Linked DNA regions of Styela clava. The protein of the gene in region 2 binds, or shares a complex with, the protein of the main gene of each other region. Links are inferred from orthologs where the notes say so. Each region holds a gene or a part of one and is shown on either strand. Other genes may lie near its edges.

Region 1 (3,762 bases), on a different chromosome or scaffold from region 2:
TATTTTTGAGCTCTGTACAACGACCCCGATAAGAGAGAGGTCGCTGACGTATTGAGTTTGTTGACATACTCGTAGGCGCCATTACGGGTGACCGTCGCTATACTTTGGCAAGCTGTATTTCGTTATTGTGACGTCGCAGTGACGTAATTTTTGGATGACGTCATCAGGTAGGGGTCAGGAATCATATATCCAAAAATTGTTACGCCACGCCCACTAGAAGTTATTCAGGTAAGAAAGTACATGAGACCCTATACCGGTACTCGTTTTTGGAGGACCCATTAAACTCAAACTGTTAAAATGAAATATACAAATAAAGCTAATTCAGTAATTATTAGAAGAAAGGTTCATTTTTTGCAAACTAGCCTAAAATGCCAGAACGTCTGCATGTTTTGTTGTGCACAAGCAGACAAGTTTGTATGTTGATCCTTCAGGTCTGCATGTCAATGTATTATGATAATGCTCACACTAGTTCTTAAAATGTTCAAACTTCACCTGCAGTTTTCTGGTATTATAGCAACTTTCTTGAATTACTTCACACGGTGGACTTAAAAAATATATATTACTGTAGTCTATTATCTATCTATCTTTACAGATATACGGTATATAGGCTATTATCATAAAGACATATATTCTGTCAAAAATGAGTTCTCAATTATCTGATGTTGGTATTTTCTCACAAATAATTTTGTCAGTCGACTGGCTTGAAGAAACTACACTTCTCAGTATATTATTGACAATATACTGCATTTGCATCCTACTGACTATTATCACTTGGAAAAGAATCACAATCATGTGTCTGTATTTTCTAATACTTTGCATTGCAATATATTTTGCTGAATGGATTAACAAAAGTGCCGCAAGAAACTGGAAATGGGTGTCTCCAAATCATCAATTTTTTGATTCTTCTGGATTATTTATATCAGCTGTTTATTCTCTTCCGTTACTAATTAATCTAATTATTTTATTAGTTCGAATGTTGACTTTAACAGCTTCTGAAATGATAATGGTCAAACAAATGAAATTGAAAAGTTCAGCTAAAGCATTGCAGAAAAAAGATTCATGAAATTATTGCTATTGTTTTTAGTTATCAATAATGCAATTTGTTATGAAATCCAGCTTAGTGATGTAGTGTCTGACAATCCATTGCTAAAAGTTTTTATAACTGTTTTAGTCTTTTATTTTTCATGAGCCATTTTCACAATTTCAATCTAAAGTCATTGTGCAGGCAGCCACTGCTGTGCAAGAAGCTACGATATTTTAGTAATAGTTACCTAATTTAATTAACCCTGGGTGTTGTGTATGGCACTGGTTTAACGTCTTTCAATTGTGACACCAATTTAGTCCAATCTCTAAAACTTTAGCCACAACCCCAACATGGGGGTAAATATTGAAATATAGTTACTTGAAGCTATAAGGACATCAATAGTTGGTCGAAAACCACCATGCTTTGTAAATTATTCGCACATGTTTACATTTTCAGTCAACTTGGTATTGTTTACTGCGAGTTTTCACACTACCAGTCACTGAGGGAATAGCATCTGCATTCAAGGTTGGCAAGGCAGAAATATGCTGTACTATTAGATATACATCACGTCACACATAGAAGAATTTAAACGCTCTTTTAATATGATTGATTACTATTTTATTCATCTATAATATTAATAGAGGGAACTTTGTATTTCAAAGCATTGATTTTTTAGTACTTCATAAAATATGTTGCACGACCTGATATTTGCATTGCAAGGATATCCTGGAAGTATTTTTAAAGAAACATCAAATGGTATTGTTAGAGTTGTTCCCGGCCTTCCATTCCTATCACCATCAGAAGAATCATCGTTAAATAGACTTCTCAAGCTTTCAACAAAAATTATATTTTTTCAAAAGTTCATTGACACTCACAATTCAACTTTATATGCAGAAGGAGCAGAAAAACATTCTGATGGATTGTTGCATGGATGTTACCTGCAAGCATTGTGTTATGGGCTTGAAGATGTATTAGAATCTTATTATCAGTCCGTTTTAGACATAGAAAAAGAAATACTCGCGGATCCTCTATTAACATTTATGCATGTGTACCATTCGCTAGAACATTATTATTTGCTTTTCGATGCGTTGTATGACTTGATATCTATCGTAAAATCAAGAAAAAGTCATGGTTGTCAGATTCTAAGTACCGTTCATCATGCATCACAAACAGGCAATCGTGTTGTGCTGCGAGCAATGCTAAGAATACAGAAACGGTTGCATTTAGTCATGTATCGACAACTTTCATCATGGTTGCTGCATGGTCTTCTTATTGACAGACACAAAGAATTTTTCATTTCCAAATCTGAAGAGAAAGGACCCAATGACTCTGTTAGCGTGTTCCAGGATACTTTCTCATCCTCTACTCTTGGATCTCAATTGGAAATCTTTTATATTCGAGCAGACATGCTTCCGACATATTTACCCTCTCGTGATGCTGATGTCATTCTTTTTATTGGCTCATCATTGCATCTTTTTGAGAAAGACCTACACAAACAACAAGCACTTCATGTTGGAGGCTCTAGCATGGCAGTTGCATTGAAGGGACTTTCTGCTGATGTTGAGGGAAAGCGCATGGACGGGATTCTCAAAGAAAATCAGCAAGAATTCATGAGGGATTTTCTGTGGTTGCAAAATCAAGATAGATTCTCTTTAGAGGAGTTTGAATCCAGGTTGAATAAAATTCGATCCACTGTAGCAAGAGAACTTTGGGATTTGTGTGTTGTTAAAGCAAAACTAGTGTCTCATTTTATGATGCTAAAAGACTATTACTTGCTTGGACTTGGAGAATTATATCTGGTATTTTTAGAAGAATCTGCGATAGTAATGAGAAAACCCCCAACAAAAACTACGGAGCACGATGTTAACCAGGCATTCTTGAGATCTGCCATCAAAGTACAACTTGAAGAAGATGGTGCGTTACAAAACTTCAAATTAGTTATAGAATCAAAATCTTCTAAAGAATCTGAACAATCTTCTGGTTACACATATGATGCATCAGGAATAATGGATTCTAACGATACATGGTCTTTATTGAGTATCACATTCCAAGTTAAATGGCCATTGCATATCATCTTCACACCACCTGTACTTTCAAAATATAACAAGCTGTTTAAATTCTTGTTGAGGGTTCGTAGAGCCCAACTTGCTTTACAGAATTTGTGGGCACTTCAAATGCAAGAGAAATGTTCACTTATATGTACTGATGATGATGATGCTTCTATCAAACAAAACATTTCTAATCTGACTTTAAGAATGCATATGAGTCATCTGGTTGACAGTTTGCAGTACTATTTACAGGTAATGTATTTTACAGTTGAATCTCTCTGATCTATCTCTGAATCTCTCCGATCTGAATAGCATCAAAATTAAACAGGATCGAATGCAACCGGTTATCTGGGTTTTTGCCATGAATATATAGAGAATTTATCGATACCATTTGTATTGAAGAAAGTAAAAATACTTGCTGATAAAAAACAACAAACCTGGTTAAGATATATTGAGAACTGACTTCATAACAAAATTGTAAAGGGATGCCCTGTATATCTAGGCAATATAGCACCACTTTGGCATCCCACAGCTGAATGTGCATTTGTATAATTCAAATGCTTGCCTTTGGTGTTTCTTTATTGAAGCTTTTTGAATTACTGTATAGTGCAGAAGTTGAATATATAATGAATTAATGCTTTTGTTCAGGCGGATGTATTGGAATCTCATTTTTCTAACCTGCTTTCAAAG
Region 2 (3,762 bases):
TCAGCAGTTAAATATTTTCTGCTATTATCACCAGCAAGCCAGTATGGTGATGATGGAATAGGATGTTGACGAGGTCTTCTGGCGTTGTGCTGTTCACGCAGTGTTTTCCTGAATGACTCTGCTGAAGGAATCAAACCCAATGCAGATGATGGTCCCGTGGCTTTTTCTAGAGTACTTCGCAACTGTAGAAACAAAATTTGGCGTCGGAAAATTTTATCAAGGCAAATTTCTCCTTATGTAGGTGAGGATTAGGGCTGAAATTTGTCTAGATGAAATATTTTTCATGGGTGAATATTTCTGCAGAAGAAATTTTCCCAGCACCCAAACATGTTATGTCAGTTTTGAGATATAGGATATGATATATTTAGTTTAAGAAAAATTAATAAAAAGGATTGTATTCATAGGTATTTAGAATCAACCCTTATAATTGATACAATTTCTAATACTATGAATGAATTATTCAACTCAGTATCTCCGTATGATTTGTCATAAAATCATGGTTTCAAATTTCAATGAAAAAAGGTGCAATGTAGCAAATTTACAGTAATTTATTGGCAATTTAATTAATATATACCAATTCAACTTCCTGAAGAAAAAATATGATTCCAATTTTGCCTAATTTTATTTGAATTAAAATAAATTGGAAAATATTCGCATTCGTGTATTTTTTATCACACCATATCTAATTGAAGTTCTGAGTCAAGGATGTTCGAAACTACTAAACGAATATTTTAACAGATTCAAAATAATTGTATTCAATATTTTAAATTCTTGATTTTTGAATAATTCAGAATAATTAGGGTTAATTATGAGCGCTGTGTCCTGTGTGTCTGGCCGGTATTTTTGTGCAAACGATAAGCTGTAGCTAATAATTAACACATGTTCATTGTTCACTATAATTCTGGCTTTTCAAGTTCATGGACTAACGAGATGAAAATGTATTTTAGTCCGCGGAGGGTAGGGTTCTTGGAATTTTGATATTCGACATAGTTGACTAGAAAATGGCAGGAAATTATGATAAATTTGGAAACTATCGAAGCTTTTTTTCGGTCACACAAAACAACTGAGACCCAATACATTTAGACCCAATACATTTAATTCTACAATAGTAGATATTATGTTTTGTGAATGTGAATATTTATTCACCCCTATTCTGTTATATTCAAAATCAAATACCAACATTGGAATTTCCAAAATAAATTTCACCTCAGATATTTCTTTTGGGGTTAATTTTGATCCAGATGGTGGAAGAGTAATATTTGATGTACCAAGGATTGAAGATGGAGAAATAGGAATCATTTTAGCAGCTTCTCCTCTCTCCTCGGCATTTTTTGTCAAGGTGGCATGCAAACTTGGTTTGTTATTCAGGTTTGATAGAAAATGTATCATAGAATCCAAGTTGCGAACACTGAACGAAATAGATTTTTGAAAATAAACTCAAACATGAAAACAAAAAACTTTGTCATTTTAAATCTTGTACTGCCATAGGCAACAGCTGCATAAGCAGCTAGCATAGGTGACGATTTTGCGCAACATACAAAGTTGCTCGGAGTTAATTTTACCGAAACATAAATGGGTTTAAGTCACGAAGTGATGGGGCTGGTGGTCAAAGGTCAGACATTACACAGTGTATTCTCCGACTGGTTTATTTTGAAAATCTACATCATTACGAACAAACTGTTGCATTAATAATCATATTGCAATTGAATTATTATATTTTGACCATAAGGTAGGAGTGAAAAATCTGGAAATTTCCATTTGGAAATACCAGTATGTGGTAAAAGGGTTAAGAAACTAAAGGTTTTTAAATTTGCCTAGACCTATTCTACACCACATTTATCGCCAAATGTTAATATTTCAATGGCCGCTAGTCAAACACAACGGCGTTATAATATACAAATTTTGAAACGAAAAAGTGTTTATTAGCATACTTTTTGGACTTCAGTTCTTCATACTTTTGCAAGAATTCCTTGGGTTTGGAAGCTTTCTCACAAATTTTGACAGCAGAACTATGAGTGTTCACCTTCAATAAAAGTTATTATTCTCTTAAATGATTAGAACAGATTATAATTATCAGAATATACTTCAACACCATGAGTAATACATACTTGTGTTGTGACAAAAGGTGTTCGACTTTTCAGAAGAGTTTCAGTGTGTTCTTCAGCCTTCCCTTTGTCGACTCTGAATGATGATTAAACATTTAATATGAAAGATAGTTTAAAAATAATTTTCAACCGTAACACCATGATTTCATAAAGCATGAATATATATCTTCTTATTACTCTTTTTAGACACAAGATATTCTCAAATTACAAAACACAGTAGATTTATAATGGTGAATTTCCAATGTTCCATTCTAAGATTTTAATATGATGTTGTACAAAATCCATGGATTATAAATTAAATCATTTTTCTGATAAGATGGCATGGCATTATTATATGGCAAATCACGATCTCTGATCCAGCTACCAATCCATGTCATATAAGAGAATAGTATACAAGTTATTCGTCCCATATGCATGGATTTTACAGAAGAAGTCATAAACGACCAGCAGTTATTTATGTGAACCAACTTACGACAGCGGAGAGTCAAGCAATTCCATCACACTGAATTATACTCCATAGGACCTGTGAACTAATGCAGACTAATCAGAGGTGCAATTTCAAGCATGTTCTTAACGCTTATCATAATGTGCCAACCACTTGTGTTAGAGTAAGTTCAAAATTAAAATTTAAACAAATAATCAATACAGACTTACTTCAACAATTGTAAGAGTTGGTTGACATTATGATGAATTCGAAACTCTTCACTCATGTTGGAAATCAGATTTATATTGTTGTAATTTTATTTAAATCTAATGTATGATTTGAAAATATTAGAATGTGAAGGTTATCAAGTACACGTAAGGAACCAATATGAAATTTCCAGCAGAACTTGATTCAGACGATTCATATACAGTATACACAGAAAAAAATCAATGTATCAAAATTGAGGATCACATATTAGGAACTATTCAGAAAGAAGAAATGGCTGTAGTCAAACACTAATAAAATCTAAGGTTATCAGAAAATCATATTTTCGTTGGAAAGACTGAAAGGCAACAGTGGGTCTAGTGTCCGTAGTGTGGTGTAGTTTTAGTGGGTGTAGCGTAACGATATTTGCATATTTCTGACCCCCACCTGACGTCAACCAAAAATTCTATCACTGCGACAACAACAATCGCAAGAAAGATAGCCAGCTTCAGTGAGTTCATTGTCACAGACATCCTTACGGGCCATCGATGCTATATTTTGGCAAGCTTGATTATGTGATTGTGATGTCACAGTGACATAATTTTTGAATGACATAGTCAAGTAATAAGGTAAGGGTCAGGAATGATATATAAAAATTTTTATACCATTCACACTAGAAATACTGGTGGCACTAGACCCACAGCAGCCGTTCCATAGTTCAAGCTTCGTTCAGGATATTGTTTTGGGGATTTGCGGGTAAAAAATTTCATTTGGCTTTCGTGTCCATAGGCTGTATTTCAAATTCTTTAAAAAAATTCCATGATTACAGTTCATTTTTTTTGAAAATAGATGATGGGCAGAGTTAAATTGTAAGCAATATTCTGGTATATTATGTGGAAGTGCATGCATTCACTTCAATGAAAATTATATTCATGGTGGACTCATATTGTGTAATGATAGATATTAGAATACTGCAAATAATCAATATAAAATGCGGGGCATTTGGACCATGCATAAATGAACTAAAAA

What was found. Proteins that work in one complex are often made in the same cells at the same time.
Region 1: gamma-tubulin complex component 2-like (region 2) and gamma-tubulin complex component 4-like share a complex: the UniProt entries of both Homo sapiens proteins name them as parts of the gamma-tubulin ring complex. The link is inferred for Styela clava from reciprocal best matches to the Homo sapiens genes TUBGCP2 and TUBGCP4.

The regions. Positions count from the first base shown.
Region 1 is NC_135257.1:8,687,239-8,691,000, reverse strand, and holds the start of gamma-tubulin complex component 4-like, read left to right. Parts: upstream 1-1,060; 5' UTR 1,061-1,713; coding exon 1,714-3,324; intron 3,325-3,720; coding exon 3,721-3,762. UniProt on the Homo sapiens protein: Component of the gamma-tubulin ring complex (gTuRC) which mediates microtubule nucleation.
Region 2 is NC_135255.1:3,626,888-3,630,649, forward strand, and holds the start of gamma-tubulin complex component 2-like, read right to left. Parts: upstream 2,872-3,762; 5' UTR 2,816-2,871; coding exon 2,760-2,815; intron 2,182-2,759; coding exon 2,109-2,181; intron 2,024-2,108; coding exon 1,932-2,023; intron 1,409-1,931; coding exon 1,207-1,408; intron 183-1,206; coding exon 1-182. UniProt on the Homo sapiens protein: Component of the gamma-tubulin ring complex (gTuRC) which mediates microtubule nucleation.